2 linked regions of the Caenorhabditis elegans genome follow. The protein of the gene in region 1 interacts with the protein of each later gene in a pairwise test. Each region holds a gene or a part of one and is shown on either strand. Other genes may lie near its edges. The genes, in order: spig-10 and arrd-7.

Region 1 (9,239 bases):
GAAATATATTATGTTCGAGGGAGCGTTAAATTTTGATTTGAAAGTTGATAAAAAGATAACGGCGTAAATTCATTTTGTGACTTATGGCTAAAAATTTTAATGTGCATTTTTTGATCTACAGCTGCTGTGAAAAATAGAAATAGAGAAAACTCACTGGTTTTCATTGCTGCCAGCCTGTGCCAGGTCTGCACGGAAAACATCAATGGAAAAATTCCAATAATTAAAAATGGCCAAGAAATATTACGCAATGGGAATTTCGACTATTGCCCAATTCTAGTTGTAAAAAATTCTTTTTTGAAATTGATCCTAAATTACCAAATTTTGTAACACTTCACACTTTACAAGCTATTTGAAAATGTTCGCTTAATATTTGGTCAACTGCCAAGTTTACAATATGTTTGCAATATATTTTAGTTTACAATATAGTTTACAATACAATATTACAATTTATAATACAATAATAACAATGTGTGTTTTTTTACAAATGTTGAACAGCGTCCCATTTTTTAATCCCTATAATGTTTAAATAAAGATACTTGGAACAAAGTAAAAAAAAAACACTTTTGCAAATAAAAAATAGCAAAAAAAAGGGGGTTTTTTTTTAAATATTTTTTCAAATACTATTTGGGCGTTTGTAGAGCTATAGAAATAGTTTCAAGTTGTCAAACTGTCTTGAACTTTAACAAGATGTAAAATGTTCACATATGAAACATCCATGAATATTCGAGATGTTTACCGCTGTGTTTGTGGTTTATTAAGTTTTTTTTTTCAATTTTTGCACTTTGACCTTGGTTCTGGAAATCGTTCACGCGAAGAAACGTTGTGAATATTCAATGAAGTTAGTTTTCCGCCATGCGGTGAAATTTGAAGGTTAGAATGATGTTTCATTTTTTCATGACCCGCTCATAAATCAATGGACTTTCTGATCTGGTATATTGCTCACTGTCTCTGTTTAAAAAACAATGTCTAGTGTTATACCGTGAGAGAAGCCACAAAATAAGCTTCTTCAAAAAAAACAACGATGAGCACAATGTCAATATTTACGTTTTGTTGCAAAACAAAATGAAGATAACGGCAGACAGAATGGTCCTACACAGCCACTAAGTCCATGGATGAGTGATGAATGAACTTTTGGCAAAGGATTAGTGCTTGCTCACAAAGTTTACTACTTTTTTCAAAGAAAGATATGCAACAGAATGTGGAATCGTCATTTTTTTCTGAACAATACTCGAAGTTTAATATTCAAATCGTGCATTTTGCAATAATTCTACTGAATTAAACATTTGCCGTTGTAGCGTAGATCATCGCAAATCAGTTGTTTTTCAATTACGTCTGAAAAGTAGAAACTTCCTTTTCTACGAACCTGGTGATCAGGAATGCCCTGGTTTTCTGCTCAACACCTTCAGGTACATGTAAACTGATGCTTCATTTGTTTTCCGTGTAAAGTTTTTGTAGGTGTTAGGTTTCATTCCATGTGATCTTTTGAAACCATTTGGTAAACCCCCAAACAAATGTGTTTTAGTCTTTTCAATTGTATGCTAACATTTTTTTCGAAATGCTTTTAGGCTGGTAGCTCCATTCAATATTTTCCTAATCCTCTGTAAAAAAGAAAGAGAAGAATAGTTTTTTGTAATTGAAAATGTAAGTTTGCCACCTAGTTCTGCAAAATTTTTGATGATTTCTAACTTTTCTTTAGCATTTTTCAAACACAAAATAATCACTTCCTAAAAATGGAAAAATGCTGGAGCTTCAAATAATTATCTATTGACCTTTTTTTCAAGTTTATTTTTTTAGGCTTTGTTTTTCTTTATTTGTTTCAAAATTTTTTTTTTGTTTTTTAGTAATTTTTAGATTTTTAAAGTAACAGTATTAATTAATTTTCAACTATTTTCAACTATTATGTACAAAAACAAGATTTTTGATGAACAGGCTTTTTGATACTCCCAGCATATAATTAATTAAATTCAAAAAACAAATCACGCTATCATTTCCAACTCATCAGATATGAAAAAATGTTTTCTCAATACCGCAGTCTATTAAAAAAAAACGCCTGCCTACCTCACTAGGAAACCAACTACGCGTACCATGGGACCTGAAAATGTGAGCTTAACATCTAACTTAACTTTTTTCCGAAAACTTAAAAGAAACTTGCGGATTTTGGTACTATTAATTGGTGACTATTTTTAAATAATATGTATTATTATTTAGCATGAATTTTCAAATAGCAATAGTATGATTTAACCCAAAATCTAGAATTTCAATGTTATTTTCAGCTGATTAAATTTCGATTTTTTTTAAATCGATTTTTATATTGGGAATCGTGATGCATTTTCATAAAATTGTTAAATTTCAGAAATTTAGTCATGGATAATAATAATTTATAGGTATCGCACACGAACCAATCCCCCGTGTTCAGTTTTTTTGATTATCAGTTGTTCTGATTTCTCTCCGTTCCATTTGTTTGCTCACATTCGAAAAAGCATTCACTCACGCCAAAACGTCAATTTGGGAGGGTTGAAAATGAGGAAAAACAGATATCTCGAATGTGGCTGTTTTCTTTTTTTTTCTTTTGAAAATGTTTCCGCTCCTCTTTTTCTCGTGACCTTTTGATCCATGTTTCTCAAAGGAGAAATTTCGAATTAGCCATCTCTATCTCATAGATGATTTTCGAAACAAGGGGACAACCAAATGTGCGGCTATGTATAACATTGCTGAAGCTGCTCATTTAAAATTCCGCGTGGCAAGTACTAGAAAAGCACTCAACTTCATCTTCTTATTTTTGTTTCTTTTTAAATTTTCTAGCACCCGTCCTGTTTCCGTTTCCAACCCACACGTGACACCACTTTTTGGTCTTCACATATTGTTTGAGATCTTCCCCCGGAAACCAGTCGCATCTAGTAGCAATTGGACTCTGTGCAAACCCGAGAGTTCAGTATTTCTTACTCGTTTCCTTTCTATTGTCCTCTCTTTTACCTTCAAGAAGGTTTTCATTCCACAGCACTCCCACACATGGATATCTATTCTTCTTTCTACATCTCTACGTGAGCATCGCCAATTCCCAAAGTCCCAAAAGTGTACAAATTGGACGTTGATTAGTGGAAATCATACGACTAACGGCTCATGAAAATTCTCTATTTAGTGTCTCACTTTTCAACTATACAAGTTGATTTTTAATTTCTAAAAAATATTGTTTCCGATATATTATTTTTATTTTTGTTCTCTTTCTATGTACAAGTATCAGCATGTTAAACTAGACTCACAAATTGCTCAAAAGAACTAGGTGCAAAATGAAAGCATATATGCTGGAATAATTTTGTTATTCTCAATTACCTAGTCTACTTTACCTTGAAAAAGATATTTTCGGCCAAGTTCCGTTTCTTTTTCCATAAATAAAAGTTTGAAAACCTGGTATCTAATTAAGAATTTGATGGTAGTCTATCAATTTTGTCCTTCAATTTCCATTTTCTTCTATCAAATTTTCCACTCAAGAATTAATGTTTCAGAATGTCGGACTGCGAGCAGATGACAGATATGACCACATCTTTGTGGCTCCGGCTATCCCTTTTTGTGAATCTCGGCATCACGATAATCTCGTTTCCAGTTCTGTTAACTGCTTTACACTATATAAATTCTCAGCAACTGTTTCATCGGAATACAAGGATTCAGATTAAAGTTCACATATTTGCATTGTTGGTTCATTCCACAGGAAGGTGAGTTGTTTTTTGAATTCGTTTGGGAAATAATTGAGATGTTAAATTCTGTCCTGAAAAATTGTTTCTAATTAATGAATTTTAAAATTAATGAAATACTGTAATATTACTTTTTTTTCATATTTCAGTTTAAAAATCTAGGGGACAGTTTTACGCGTTACGCTAATGGTGCGAACAAAAATGTTCGGCGTTCGAAAATGATTTTTTTTTAATGTGGTAATAATCTAGGATATCCTTTTTCAGTTTTATCGTTTCAAATTATCTTTGTGCAAAAAAAGCCAGCACGTGAGACACCAATAATGGTTGCCACATTTTGAACCTCCCAAAATTATTTTTGTCACTCTTCCATTTTTCATAATGATACGCTAGAATGGCAAAAAGAAGTTAGTAGCAATTTGGAGTTAGTCAGTTAAATTATTGTTTTCTAGTATTTGGGCACGTGTTCGAATTTATTAAAAAACGACAGTTTGTTATTTAGGGACTACAAATATTTATATTTCTATATGGATAAACAGTTTAATTTGGTTTTTTTTTTCAGATTTGCTCTTCATTCCCTGGACCTCATAAACTATTTTTCAAATACTGGTTGTGATGCTCTACCCGATTTCTATCGATGTCTTGTTGTTCGAGGACTTTATAACTTTGGAATGGCGCTTGCAGCAATGTGCTCAACAAGTCTTGTCATCGAACGAGCAATAGCACTTCACTATAACTCGACTTATGAAATGTGTGGAAGAGGATTCGGTGTTCTTCTAGGATTTCTTCAACTTTTCCTCGCATTTGCATTCTTGTTTAAACTCTACTTTGATGCCTCATTTACACCAGTCCCAAATGTTACTCTTTATTATTGTCAGACTCTAGCTTCCGGTCACGGATCCGTCTGGACAATTAATGCTCCACTATATGCAGTTATGATTGCTCAGTGTGTATGTAGATTGGCGTTTTGGTACATCGGAGTGCAAACTAAAGTAAGTATCTTTGACATTGAAGAATCAAATAAAATCAGTTTTCAGAGGAAGAGAAACACCCAGAAACTACAAACACTGAGCACTCGGTATACTTTGGAGCAAGGAATTCGATCTATAAAAGCACTGAATATGTTCATTAACGCCAATTGTTTCGTATTTTTCTTTTTCTCGTTTATTGGAACTTCATTACATTTTAATTCGAGTAAAATGAGCAGACCAACGTACTTTGCTCTCGTGGAAGTGATTCATTTTATTCCAACTTATGGAATTCTACTTTCAATTTACATTTATTTTTCTTTGAAAAAGGTAAATCAATTCTAGTTAGAAAGTAATGTTAATCTTAAATTTTTCAGCTTGACTCAAAGCAAAAGACATCACTCACAAAAAGCATGCAGATGGATCCGAGTCGTTATCTGATCGAATTCAAAAAACAAATTGGTTAAGCCACGTACATATTTTATTTTATTTTATTTTTGTTCTGTGAACATTTTCATTACCAATGTATTGTGATAAATGAAGACTAAAAGGTCTTCCTAATTTTTTTTGGAGAACATTTTTTTTCTTACTTTTTCTGTAGTTGTTGCAACAGGAGTATTCAAAGCAATTTGTTTAATTAACCTAAAATTAATTAGATGATAAATGTTGCCAGAAACCCGGAAGTGCAACTTGGAAAATATTATTCAAAATCTGGAACTTGACAATTGTAATAAATTGAAATCACGATGCACTAAACAAATTTGTTACTTAATCTAAAGTAAAAGTTATTTTGATACACAAGGTCCTGAGAGATTTTAAATCACGTTTCCAACATCAAACTTTTCACACACTACGAGTTCGAAGAGTTCGATCTTTGAAATGATCACTACCAATAAAAAATAATTCAACTTAAAAACTAGTTCGGATCAAATCAAACACATACCATCATCAAATATAACCCTCATATCGTCAGATTATCCTTTTCATTCTCCTTCATTCTACCATTTCTACCATTTCTACCATTTCTGTTTAACCGGACAATGTGCCGATTTCTCGTCGCCCTCCTTTTTACGGCAATTTCTGTCTATGCAGGAGCTCCAACAGGTTTGTTGCATTCAGTTTTAGATCTAAAAATAAAATAATTCAGCCGAGGAAGCAAAAGCTGAAGTAGTTGCCGCCGGTGTCTCTGAGGCCGCCGCTGATGGAATTTTAAAGATTGCGGAGACCTACAAGGGCCAATTCGAGGCAGCAAAAGGTGATCGGGAAGCTGGAAAGAATGTTTTTCACACATTCCACGCAGAGGTTGATAAGTACATGGAAACACAATCGGAAGACGACCAGATTGCTTACAAGGCATTTGTTGATAAGAAGAAGGCCGAGCTTCAAAAACGTAACAGTACACCAAAGGCTTAGATAATCATGGAAGATCTATATTTGGTTAATAATCTGCTGAGAAAGTATTTGTCATTTATATGTCTTCTAAAATTAATTATTTGGATAAAGTACTACATATTCAGATTTATATGAAGATAGAGAACCAGGGAGTTTTGTATAATGGTAAAAAATGGCTTGAGTCGAATATTTAGAATTTAAATCTCGAAGCCTTTGCCCAAGGTTTTAAGACTTCTCCCATCACAAATTCAAGCAAAAAGCCCTTCTTACAAAAATAGTTTTTTTTAATATTAAGTGAAAGTTTATGAAACATCTCCACCTCGGGAATGCGGACAGGCGTTTCAAGCTTATTTTTATTTTAGTTTATGATTTAATTTTGTTCAAGCCTTGCATACACCAAATAATGAAACGCAAAAGCGAGAGAAATTTTAATTTTTTAAAGCGCAAATCAATATAGCAGTGGACATTTGTAAGCGCATTCGGAAGCAGCACTTCCGAAGTGGTTCAGAAAAAGGGTTTTAGGACTTTTCGCTTGCTATATCAGTTTGTTTCTTCACGATTTTTAAATAAGTGAATAAATTTTCAAAAAACAAATAACTTCGCATAAAGATGAATATAATTATTTATTCGGATGTCACAAGATTATTCAGAATTAAAAAATGTAACGGAAACAAACGTTCAATACGCTCCCAGTGGTGTTACAGGCTGAAGATTTTGATTTAGTTTCTTGATCTCCTACTTTTGTTCATATTTTTCTATCAAGTTTGTGTCTTGTGCAGTTCATTTGAAAAACACGAAATTTTTTCTGATCGAGATCTCAAAATTGATATCGATGGCGAACAATTTCGGTTCATGCCTTCGGCCCGGTCATCCTATAAAAGAGTCTGATAGAACCAAAATATAATAAGAAAGTTTAAACATGAGAACACTTCCTATTCTTCTTCTTGTCATAGTCGGCGTTGTCTACTGTTATCCATTGAACGAGGACAATGTCGATTTGGAATCGGATGTTGCCGAGATGGAGGGAGCTGAGTTGGACAGAGTGAAGAGAGCAAGTGATCATAAACTTGAGAAGAAGTTGGATGAAATCGTGAGTTACTACCATATTTGATGGTAACTAATGAAAATTCAAAATTTCAGATGGAAAAGGTCGAGAAGATCAAGGACAAGATTGAAGAGAATAAGGAAAAACGTGTAAGTAATTAAAGCGTATTAAAGTTGACTTGGTTTGCTTAAAAATATTTTATAAAAAATTGTATAACACATGAAATTTATGTTTTATATTAATAGTATGTTTTAAACTCATCTTTATTTATTTTTAATTTCAGGAGAAGAAGAATAAGAAGAAGGGAAACAAGAAGGACGAGGACGAGGAGGAGGAAGAGGATAAGGATAAGAAGAAGAAGGACAAGAAGAAGAATAAGGATAGTGAAGAGGAAGAGGACAAGAAAAAGGATAAAAAGAAGAAGAATGATAGCAGCGATGAATCCGAAGAGGAAAACAAGAAGAGAAAGAACAAGAGAAAAAACTGAACAGCTTTACTTTTCATGTGAATAGTAGTTTCTTGTATTATCATTTCGACATCAATAATAAACCTTTGAAATTCTACAAACTTAAATTTATGTAGTAATTTCACGGAATTCGATATTTTAATTTGAATCAATAGATTTGATTTGTAGATGTGCACATTTTTGAGAGGCAAACAATTAAAATTAAATCATTATTTTTCTTTAAAAAAACAGTTAGCAAAGTCAGATTCAATTACTTCTGAAAATGGAGGAAAGGCCAGACTTTGGATCGAACATTAAAAAAAAAACAAAGTACTTTTGGAGTTTTCATTTTTTCATCGCTCTTTAATTTATGTTTTGATAAATTATCCGTTGCGGAACTGAAAAGTTGCCAAAATTTGCGTAGTGAAAATAGGTATTTTTCCACAACTTTGAACCACCATGACTTTTTAGATCAAGAAATGTTCAGAGCGTCTCACTACGAAATTCGGTAATTCTGGCCTGCTTTAGGTCTCAAAACGCAACGTCTAAGATTGCTGTATTCCACCTTAGAAAGTTTTAAAAAATTGAAAAATATGGTGAAACACAACTGCTCAGAACAATATTTAACTGAAAAAAACCTGTTTTGTAAAGTTAAGGTAAAAAAAAACGATCTAAAATTATCCCTTTTATACAATACAGAGCCCGATCTATTTTCTGTCTTGTGCTGCTTATAAAAAAATTCACGACAGTTGCTTCTTGTCATTATATTTTTCAAAACTATCTTCTAGTTGACGCTCAAGAAATCATGGACCTTGAAACCTTGTGTTCTCGGTCAGCTCTAGACTCTCTGTCCAATCCACACTCTTTAAATTTTTTTTTTTGAAAAAGCATTCGTAAAGTATCGGTGGAGTTCAAAAGGTTGAACTATTCGATTCTTGGTTCAAAGTTGTTTTATCGATGTGATTGACAGCTCGAGACCACATAAATAGCACCAGAGAATAACCAAAAATTCAGTTGATCCAAGATTTTTGAATCCGAAAATTTTTCAGAAAAATCATTTTTAGTTTCCGTTTTAATTCAATATTATGTTTCTCTCCGATATTTTTTCGCTAATGAAAATAAATAAATAACAGATTTTTATTAGTATTGCACCTCAAACATTGTTGAAAATTTAAACCTGCATTATCTATTGGTGTTGCACTCAGGTTCAGTTGCGAGAGCCACTTCTATAACACAGTTTTTAAATCTCATTTTTGATGATTGTTTTCAAATTATCGAAAAAAATAATTTTCACATTGTATTTTTGATACAACAATCGATAATTAACTGTTTACATACACATAACCTATTTTGTAAAATTAAAAAAAAAAACTTACAATTAGAACATTAGTCATGTGGTCATTTCAATTTTTAAAAAATACTGTAGATAGCGATGAACAAAAATATCAACATTACCAATTTGACAAAAAAAGTCATTAATGCTGTTTCATTGTAAACTTGAATGGAAATTTCCTTTCGATTTTTGACTCATAATAATTCAGATTCAAAAGAAATGCATGAATGATTCATTTTCGATTCATTTCATTTCAAGTGGGTTTGAAATTTTGTCGAACTTCATATCAAAAATCTGTTTTGTAAAGTTCTTCATCTCCTGTCTTGTGTCTTCTGTCCCGACTTTGTCAAATGAAAAGAAAACTTTTTTC
Region 2 (11,152 bases), on another chromosome or scaffold:
GTCATGAAGCAAATCCGCCGGCACTACACTGATGTAATTAAACCGGCAAATTAAAAATTTAATTTACTGAAAATGAGAATTCGATATACACACACGAAAAAATGTTAAAAATGTTCTTCATTTTCATATTCCGGCGGTGGAGCACTTGCCTGAGAATCTTCTACAATTTGACTGAAGTTTTCATATTTAGGAGGAGCTTCCGTAATAGAATAGGCAATTGGTCTTGTGAATACTCCAATGGGAATTGTTCCAACAGTAATCGGAAGTTCACATCTCAATTTCTTATTCTCTCCGATATCCACAATAATACAATAGTCTACTTCAATAATTCCTGTTCGAAAACTAGGAACCAACTGATTCGGCAGAACAAGTGGCACATTTATTTGGCTATTTGAGCAAAATTCCACGTGACAACTCTTCTCAACTTTCGACATTGTGGTTTGAGCAGTTTTATGCTCACAATGTTTATGACAATGTTCTTCTGGAAATAGATGAGAATTCTCTTGTTGAGCCTGATAATGCACGTGCTGCTCCAATTTTGCTTTTATAGAATATATAGGCTTCTTCGTGTGATTTTGAATTAGAGCAGATACTTGGATGGTCTCTCCTGGGATGTATCCGGATTTTGGGATGGAGATCTGTAAATATTAATTTGTTAATTGAGTCATTATTTGTTATTAGCATGAAATAAAAAAAATTATGTTACCTTAACTTTAACCTCTTTGTTAGAAAATAATCCAGAATGCTTGCAAGAAGATACGATCATTGGATTGATTGTTTTTGGAATGGAGTTTAAATCGATAACCGGAATCACTGAAATATTCGAAATTAAATTTTAAATGTGATTTGCTTTTATAGATAAATTGCTAATGATTTCAAGCTTCAGTTTAGCCCAGACGGGGTTAAAATCAGGGCTCAGCGGCAAACGATTTTTCCGGCAAAATTAGCGAATTGGCAATTACCGAAATTGAAAATTTCCGGCAAATATAGCAAATTGACAATTTGCCCAATTTGCCGGAAAATCTGTATTTGCCGATAGTTGTGAGTTTTTCTGGAACTTTCAGAATTTCAGTTTTAAACGAAAAAATTGTACACATCCGATGAATAGCCTTACATCTATTTTTAAAAGTCAGTGAATTCTATGAGAATATCGTTAAAAAACGGGGGAAAATTTCAAAAAGGCACAGTTTCAAGTTTCCGTCTTCTCCGGCAAATTGTTATCCGGCAAACGGCAGATCGGCAATTGGCCGAAATTTAAAATTTCCGGCAAAAAAAGACAATTTGCGGATTTGCGAGATATTATATTTTGACACAAAAAATATTCACATTAAATCATGATTTCTTTTCTTTTTCAGGTCGTATCAAAATCGTTTCCAACTCACCAGAAAACACCCTCTTCGCTTCAACATTCATCCTCCATGGCCTATCTAATTCCACGTGTACCGAATATCGAACATTTCCATGCGTCCCTTCAAAACTCGGTGGTAGATTTGCAGGAAGTTGGAAGAGAAACGGAAATATGTTCACACCGCCAGGGATTTTATTGTTCTAAATGTGGTGTGTAAATATTAAAGTGTATTCAAATTTACTAACCGCGTTTTCAATGGAACTCCATGGCTGGGCGATTCCTTCCAAGACGTTTATCTTGCTAGTATAGTTGATATGTTCAGAGCTACGATACCATCGACCATGTCGGTCACTGAAAAGAAATATGGTGGTTAAAATCAGGGGAGCGCGGCAAATTTCAAAAAACTGGTTCAGCCGAATTCGCCGCGCTCGGCAAATTTTGAAATTTGCCGCACACATCACAAATAGGCTTTTTTTTCAAATTTGGCCAAAACTGTTGATTTTGTTCAAAAAATTATAGTAAAATAACATGAAGTTGAGTTCAAAGTTGTGCTAAAAATTCAGTAGTTTTGGCGCTTCTAGAAATATCAAAATGTTCTCATTTTTCGGAGTTTGCCCAGCACGGCAAGATTGCCCAATTTGCCCAATTAGCCAAGCTCGGCAAATTTTGAATGTACCTTTAAATAGTGGATAATCTGATTACTGTTTTGGAAAGGAGAGAGATGAATATCTGGCGGAAGTATTTAAATTTTGTATGTACCATAAAACGAGCGGCAATAATAATTTCATATATTTTTTAACGAAGCTTCTATTGGCGATTTTAGTTGTATTTTCATGTCATCAGAACTTATAAATTAGTAAGTAATCTTCCTCTACGTCACTTTCATTTCAGAACCTTACATATTGGCTCACTTCAAATGCCTAACCCCAAATTGAGAAATTCAGATTTTTCTGGAAAAACAACTCTGGCCGAAAACTTGAATTTTCTGAGAAATTTTTTTACTGAAACTCGTTTTTCTTGACTATTTTTTGAAATTTTAAATAGTCCCCAAAACTCACTATCTCCCTTTATTCTCAAATTTCCTCCACAACGTTTCAATATCTCCATGGATGCAAATTTTCAGAGCCAGTGCATTTAAAGCATTTCGATTTCTGATTGTTAGCTTCCCTGCTACATTCTGTCCAGGGGAGTATACAGCGGCAGGATGGTCGAATTCAATGAGAAATGTGGTGTCTCCCATTTTTTGTAAGTCTGACATGAAATTATACTATATTACAGCTTTACATCCAATATTTTTCTTTACAATTAGTTGATATAAATAAGTTCCGAATAAAAACTAGAAAAAAAATCTTAAAAAAGAAACAACTCAGTTCATTCCATTCTCTTATCAACTAATAACTTTTATTTATAAAACATGCACCATGTTTACGTCATGTTTTCTTGCCGGAAAATTGATAAAGTCTGAAAACGTGCAAAAACGTCATAGACAACGTACTTCATTGGTCTTTTTTTTCTTTTCAGTGCAAACTTTGAGCATGAATCAGAACAATATACTATTTATGGGTTATTTGTGTATTTATACTTTATGCGATGACGTGGTTCTTCACAAGTTTTTAATGTTAACATGGTTATTAAATATAAATCGGTGTGCTTTTTTTAAAAATTCGCTATGAATTGGAATTTATCGATTATATATTATTAAAGTTATTAAAGATAGTGTATTGTTAACGGGGTTTTGATTTAAGATACCCTGAAAAATCTAATTTTGGCTAAAATTTTGATATTCCATTTTTATTTTGAATTCGCTCCAAATTCAGAAGGCAAAATATATTTTAAAAAACTAACCAAAAAATTTACAGTCAATAGTTTTTTTGTTTAAATTGCTTTGGTTATGTTCGTGCAAAAAAAAAGTGTCCTGACTATAAAAATAGCAAATTTTCCGTACTTTCAAATGAATGTATGACCGTCTTTGTAGCTACGAAATTCATTTCAAAAAACCCGAAAAATGTTTTTTTTCAATTCCACCACCATAAAAAAAAGTTTGGAAATTATATTAGGTTCGCTATGTTTAATTGTGAGTAGAAAAAAAGTTTCCTGACTTGAAATATAGCAAATTTTTTTCTCTTTGAGAAAAATGATTTGTCGCGTTTAAACGCGACAAAACATAGTTCATAGTTGGCCAAAATGTTTTTTTGTAAGCTTAATAAATTCCTCTAATTATTTGAAACAGTTCCTACAAAACCGTTTTCATTTATTTTATATTTTAGAGCAAAAAAGTACGGCATATAACTTCTAGCTGGAGATTTAGGAGAAATTCAAATAGGAATTTTAGGAAAAAATTAAAAGCCTCCTTCCTCAAATTTTTTTTCAAATTTTTAGTTATTTTTGTTACTCAATTTCAACTCTAACTTCAAGATATTCTTCAAAATATGAGTTTTAAATTTTTATTTAGTTCTGGATTTTTTATGATTTTTTTTTCATTTTTCAAAGAAGAAAATGTATTGCATTCTAAATATTTTTACAGGAAAATTGAAAATTTTTCGCCGATTGCCATGTTACGTATTGGATTTTTTGTCGTTTTTTTCCAATTAAAAAAAAATAATTTTAGAGAAAAAAAAAACGAAAAATCAAAAGAGAATCAACTATGTGTAATTTTTTGACAAACTTTGCAAAAGTTTAGAAAAATTCTATAATTATTTTAACAATCTTAATTATAATAATAAATCATATTAATAATAATAAATTTTAACAATTTAACGGTCAATTTTTTAAATTTTAGAACAAAATTCCCCGAATCCGTTGATAAATTTCTTAAAATAAATTGAAAAATTAAATTCCTACATTTTGATCTATTCCATCCCATTTTACTACTTGTTTTTATGATTTTGGTCTCTAACACATTAAATACCATCCCAACATACAATATTTGTTCTTCCCCCCTCCTAGGTCTCTCAAAACAAATACTATCTAGGTGTCCAAAATGCATGCACATTTTGGAAAATTTCGCAAACCTAGTGACGGAATTTTCACCGTTTTTTGTTAGTCACCAAATAAGCTGGCTCTACTGATAAGTGCTATCATTGAATTTAATGTATTCTTGAGAGCAGTTTCATAATTATTTCAGTGTGCTGGAAACAACTTTTTGATTGTGATTTTATATTTCAGAATCGATATGATTTTCTGTTGATTTTTTTGTAATTTTTAATGTTTAAAGTTAGATTATTACGTCGAAAACATAAGCTTTGAAAAATTCCAGAAAAATTGGTATTATAAACTTTTGTTCAGGAGTTTTTAGCCAAAAATAATTAAATGTTTTCGCTACGAATTTTCAGTCTAAACTTACTAGTAAAGTTCTTCCAAAAACATTTTCAGCCAAAATTTTATAGCAAAGAATAATTCAGTCAAACCAGAAAATATTATTCTATACAAAATGCGCTATAAATATTTTCCACCTAGAAAATTTAATCAAAAATTTACAGACCAAAAATATTGCGATAAGCATTTTTATGCCAGGTTTCCAAGCCAATTTATTCAGTTTGATCTTGCTAGGCGAAAATTCAAAAAAAATTTTTAGCCCTCTAAAAACTTCAAAATGTTCAGCTTGAAAATTTCAGTCAAAATTATAATTTTGAAATTCTACGCATTTTTAAAAAATTCTCATACTATTAATTATGTCAGCTAATAATAATTAGAATATTACCAGAAATGGACGACTTGCGAATTGAGTACGACGCTCCGAACGATGTATACTTCCCAGGACAGGCTGTCACCGGAAAAGTAATCATACAGAATCGTGAATGGATCAAAGCGAGGTTTCTGAAAATTTGCATTCACGGAGGTGCACATACGCATTGGAGTGAAAGTCGCAGCACATATAGGACGTGAGTTTTATTTTTTGAATTTCTGATTTCAGCACTTTTTACTTGCTTCCCTTAATAGTCGTTTACCTAAAGACCATAATTCAATAAATAGTCACTAATCGGAAAAATACGATAGCTTGTCTTTTTTTTACTAGACTGCTTACCTGTAAAATAAACCCTTTGAACATCAAAAAACAAAATGCCTTTCAGAAACACACGTGGAGAAAGGGAACGATTCACGGAGAATGTGAACTATAACGCGACTATCAACTATTTGACCGGAGAATCGATTGCATGGCAGTCGAGAGATGGAACTGTGAGTTATTGGTTAAGCTGTCTTCACGCTTTCAACAAACTCTTGTTTCAGGACCGTCTTCCAGCTGGCACCAATGTCTTCCCATTTGCTTTTAACCTCCCCATCAATTGTGCGCCAAGTTTTGAAGGCTGTCACGGACATATTCGATACGATGTCCACGTGGAATTAGACAGACCATGGAAGTTTAATAAAAAGTCGAGGAAATGCTTTTCGGGTATATTCGTTTAATAACTTTGGGTTGAATCGAAAAATGTCGTTTCAGTGATTCCGGTGTTCGATTTGAACATAACTCCAACTGCAATAAACCCGATGGTGAATACTGCATCGAAGAATACTGGACTGATACTCAAAAAGGGATTAGTTACAATTACGGTAAGGGATTATCGAATTAAATTGAAGATAGGTAATGTGGTAGAAATGTTAATAATTTTTTTCACAGTTTTTTGTCTACTACTATAAATTAGCTACTAACTCAAAAACATCATAAAATAAAATAAAAACAACCTTTGTACGCTTCTCTTTATCAATTTGCAATAAAGCACCATTGACAAAATCTTATCATCACAAAACTTTTGGAGTACAAGTTTTTCATTATTGTGAATCCGATTTCAATACTTTTTGCTCACCAAATTACACAGAAATTGTCATAACCAAAAATTTAGAGGGTGGCATATAGAACTTGCACGCACTGTATATACTGACATTAATAAAAGAGTGTAGCTCTAAATACATCAATAATGGTGAAGAAATAATATTGAAACATACTAAATTGTTCAAAATGTAAAAAAGGGGTTATTTGAACACTAACAGATGGAATGCAAAGTTCAAATAGTAATCACTGACGCTTTATTCATGATGTATCATTAATGATTTGCTACTTAATTTTCATATTTGATAAAACCCAAAAAAAACACTTCCAACAAGTTTTCCTTGAAAGAATATAATACTTATTCTTCATCCTATAATCTACGTCTGAACTTTAAATGATATAACAGTTGAATACCATTATAGTATGAATCTTCAGGTAAACCTCCCAAAACGCGGCTACGTCGCCGGAGAAATCATGCCAATCACCGTAAACATCGATAACGGCTCAAAGGTTGCCGTCTCAGAAGTTAGCGCAAAAATGACACAGCTCTCGCATTTCCACGCAAGTCACGGCAACATGATCGGCGTCACAGCCCATACTCATAATCGTAACGACGAAAAGTTGGTTGCCGAATCGAGAAGAGTAGCTGATGTTCCAGCGAAATCCCGTGGGCAAATGGTTCTTTCGATGAAGATTCCAGCGATTGTTCCGTCTTTTAATTGTCCGATTATCGCCGTGGATTATTGTCTAACCGTTAAAGTTTCAACTCAACAGATTTTCGGAGGTGGCTTGAAATGTGAATTCCCATTGATCATTGGAACAATCCCAATTCGACAGATGAATCAAGCAGGCAATTTTTTTTTGAATTTTAATGGTATATCCTCTATCTTCCAGCTCCTGGAGCAATGCCAACTATGCCATCGGTCTCCGCTCCTCCATATCCTGTAGTCGCCGGAGCATCTGCGTCTCAAGCAGTCTACCCGACTGCTCCATCGGCCCCGCCAGCGTCTCCCGGAGGAGAAGCTCCTCCAAGCTATGAAGAGTCTGTACACGGAGCTGGGAAAGTTGAGGATGCAGAGGTAAGCTTCAAGCTTGAAATTCTCAGCAAAATGCTCACGGAAAACTTGCAGGCCTTCGCTCCTCGCTACCCAGTCTACAACAACTTGCCACAACAGCAAAATTCTCAACTTCCACCAGAATACGCACCTCCACTGCCAGCAAAAAGTGGATTTTAATTTATTTTAAATCGGTGGCCGAATTTACTGGTTTTTCTCGGCCATGTTCCGCAGTTTTGTTCCGACTTTTCAGATGATAATAAAAAAACGCTCCATTTTTTTGTGGACAATTTCCGAAAAATTTCCGAAAATATACAGAAAAAAATAATTTCAGGTTTTTTTAACCTCGCGAATTTTTAACGGTGATCACGCGGTTCTGGCTTCCCTCATCTTTTGAAATGGAAGAGTTTGCCGAACTAGGCCATTTTGGCTTGGCAATATCTGGGGTAGATTTACGGCGCGTTGCGTGTCGCGTCGCGGCTGGTTTTAGCTGTAAATTGTTTGATCGTGGCGAGACCCACTCTGAAAAATACCATGTGCCTTTAAGTACGAAATTTGGGGAAAAACGTTAAATCAATTTTTGCCAACATAAATTTGAATTTCGCGCCTAAAATTTTTTTAAACATGAAAAAACCAACAAAAAATCAATTAAATTTATTGAGGTCGTCATCATTATCCAAGCACATAATACTATACAAAATTTATAATTTAAATTCGAACAAAAAAAAGGTAATTTATCGGAATACAACCGTACGCAACGTATCCTCATCCCGAACCTCCATCACCGCCTCGGATCCATCGTTAAATCGATACGAGATGCCTCCGTCAATGACCAAATGAGCATCGTAACCGCGGCTCTTGATGCAAATTTTATCGGCGAATCCCCGTGGATCGGTTGGTGGGAACGTCGCGTTGAAGATCGGATCACGGACTGAGAATGCGAGTTCTGAAAAATTAGAGAAAAATTGATTTTGAAAAAAATTTAAATTTTAAGCAAGGAAATCTGTTTTTCGGAATTTTCCTTCTTTTTTTTTTGGAAAATCCACCTAATTTTTCGCCTTAAAAATTAGGGATTTTTTTTTCGAAAAAATACAATTAAAGAAGTCGAGAAAATTTCGAAAAATCTACATTTTTTCCAGATTCTTAATGCTAGGTTTTGAGAGAATTTTTTTTTTAATTCCAAAAACATTTTTTTTGGAAATTTTCAGGATTTTTTTTCGATTTTCCTTGAAAAATAATTTAGTTTTGTTTATATTTCTTTATTTTTAGGCTTTTTTTTTTGGAAAAAATACCAAATTGTCCATGTTTATCCAAAAAATTGTGGAAATTATTTAGAATAACTAAAACTTTCAAATTTTGGAATTTTTAATTTTGGAAAGAAATCTGAATTTTAAATCTAGGTTTTGAGAATTTTTTAAAAAATTCAACAAAAAAATTAATTTCCAATTAAATAATTTTTCCAAAAAAAAAAGTTTTTTAGAAAATTATATGAAAAATTTCTAAAACTTCAAATAGTTTCGTTTAAAAAAAATTGAAAACTCGGATAATTTACAAAAAATCTTGAATTTTTATTGTAAATCTTTTTTAAAAAACAAGAAAAAATTTAAGAAATTCTGGAAACTTTTTTTTTTTTTTTGAAAAAAAAAACTGAAGTTTTTTTCAATCCAAGAGCAAGAAAAATCCAGAATTTTTATGATTTTCCGAGGAAAAAATATCCAGAAATTTTTGATTGAAAAAAACTAAAAATTGAAATTTTTGAGTTGAAATTTAAAAAAAGTATAATCCCTTACGTTTGCGATCAGGATCAAAAATCAATTGTTGATTAAATTTCGTGCAAATCTCGCTAACAGCATTCTTATCCCCATGCGGGATCTGTGGCAGATTACAGTGCTCCGCAACAATTTTCATCAAATCCTGAACGCATTGCTCGGTGAGCTTATTGATATTGAAATTCCACGACGTGGAGCCCGTTCCTGTACAAATCGTGATTCCCGAACTCTTTTGTTTGAGCATTTGAGCATCGTTAATTCCAATTTCATAATATGACACACGTGATGATAGACTTTCACCAATGAATACTTCGTTGAGTGCAAGAACCGGTAGTTCTACTGTCTCTTTTTCCACTTCTGGAATTTCGACGGCTTCTGAGATCATTCGTTTTTTGCTGAAAATTCGGAGATTCTTTTTTCAAACTATATTATATTTTAATTTCCGCGCAAATGAATTTTTAAAAAACATTTTCGCGTTTTCCGAAGCATTTTTTTATTATTTTCAGACATTTTAAAGGTTCTATCGGAATTAATTTTTAAACTAATACTTTTAATTTTTTTAATTTGAAAATGTATCAGATGTTTTTGAAAAAAATTTATTTAGCTTTTTTTGTAAATTTGATTTTTCTTTGCAAATAGGTAATCTGTACATTTTTCTGAAAATTCGAAAATAGTTTTTTATTTAAAAAAATTGAAAAAAGGTTTTTCCGATTTTTTTTATTAATTGAATTTTTTAATTAAAAAAATTAGGTTTTCACTAATTTTTGAATAAAAAATTTCCATAAACTAAAAAAAAAGGTTTTCTAATTTTTTAATTTTTTTTTTGATTTTCAAACTTTTAAAAATAAAAATAAAAGGTTTTTCCTATTTTAAATTAAAAATTTTGAATTAATTAAAACAAGGTAATTTCCTAATTTTTATATTCAAAAAAAATTTCAAAACTTGAACAAATTTAATTTTTTAATTTTGAATTTAAAAAAACAGTTTCCTTTATTTTTTGAAATAAAAAATAAAGAAAAAATATGAAAATAATGTAATTTCTAAATTTTTTAAATTTAAAACAATTGTTAAAATGCCAAAAAAGTTGGTTTTCCTAATTTTTTTTCAATTAAAAAATTTTTAAATTAAAAAAGGTGTTTTCCTAATTTTTATTTATTTTTTCAAACTGTACGTTTTAAAATATTTTTTTCTATTTTTTTAAACAAAAAAACAAACTTTTTTCCGTTTTTTTTCGAAATAAAAAAAATTAAAGAATACTTTTTCAATTTTCGCAATAATTTTAATATACTCCACCAACTCACACAGGTGGCGATAGTGACATGCATTCCTCAATTTCACGTGCAGGACTACGTGGATTGTCTGTCCAGCGGGTCGTTGCCGGATCTCTGTTCAGTTGCTGATCGTGCAATTCGATAGCATCACTGATTCCGTCGTCTCCGGTAACTGTGATACGGATGCGTTGACGATTGAGCCATCTGAAATAATTTTGGGGTTACAGGTACTGTCGCGAAGTCGGTGAATACAAAGATTCACTCGCTCACGACTTATTAATAAATCTAGGGATTTATTAACAAATGATTAAATGTAAAGATTGACTCATTGCTATTACGTAACACTTGCTCTTCAACACTCAACATCATCTCTTCAATCAACGGCAACAACCAGGCGAAAGGACGGCGTCAAAACCCCAATTCAAACTACCGCCAAAAGGAGGATTCAAGGCGCATGAGGTCTCGCCACGACACATACAACAACGACTGCGACCGTACTCTTGTCATCATGGCGCAGCGCACATTGGCCTATTCGTCAGTCTTCACCGTCTTCACCGCCGCAGCACGTGCCCGACGGTGGCACGTTTAAATGAATGTTGAGTGTTAGTGATTCAAGGCTTTCCCCTTGAATCACTCGTAATAAATGAGTTAATTAAATAAGAGTCTGTTGTTAGTTCCTATCAGGCAACCATTACTGTCATCCAATGAATGGTTTTTAATCAAAGTGTCTCATTATTTTATTTTCGAGTGTAGAAAAATAAAAAAATGGAAATTTTCTTGAAAAAACTAATAAAATTCCTAAATCAAAAGTTTGCTAAGCTCGGCTTAGTGTATTTTTCACAATACATTTGTAATCGAAAATGAAAAAAATTTTCGTAGTATCGTTAATTATAACATGATCATTGTATTAGTTATACTTTTAACTCAAATCTTTAATTTTTAAG

Evidence for each region.
Region 2: the proteins of spig-10 (region 1) and arrd-7 interact in a two-hybrid assay, tested with the Caenorhabditis elegans proteins (one large-scale study listed by BioGRID).

What each region holds. Positions count from the first base shown.
Region 1 is NC_003283.11:7,000,647-7,009,885, forward strand, and holds spig-10 (Inhibitor_I29 domain-containing protein), read left to right. Parts: upstream 1-5,617; 5' UTR 5,618-5,694; coding exon 5,695-5,758; intron 5,759-5,801; coding exon 5,802-6,067; 3' UTR 6,068-6,172; downstream 6,173-9,239. Other genes in the region: srab-4 (Serpentine Receptor, class AB (Class A-like)), read left to right, coding at 3,505-3,710, 4,249-4,678, 4,724-4,984, 5,032-5,121; drd-10 (dietary restriction down regulated), read left to right, coding at 6,966-7,136, 7,187-7,240, 7,375-7,578.
Region 2 is NC_003280.10:12,056,521-12,067,672, reverse strand, and holds arrd-7 (Arrestin C-terminal-like domain-containing protein), read left to right. Parts: upstream 1-5,051; 5' UTR 5,052-5,053; coding exon 5,054-5,229; intron 5,230-5,418; coding exon 5,419-5,524; intron 5,525-5,575; coding exon 5,576-5,738; intron 5,739-5,786; coding exon 5,787-5,896; intron 5,897-6,548; coding exon 6,549-6,963; intron 6,964-7,007; coding exon 7,008-7,192; intron 7,193-7,243; coding exon 7,244-7,348; 3' UTR 7,349-7,441; downstream 7,442-11,152. Other genes in the region: arrd-8 (Arrestin C-terminal-like domain-containing protein), read right to left, coding at 105-638, 707-813, 1,383-1,548, 1,594-1,699, 2,407-2,588; nadk-2 (NAD kinase 2, mitochondrial), read right to left, coding at 7,903-8,114, 8,959-9,332, 10,239-10,412.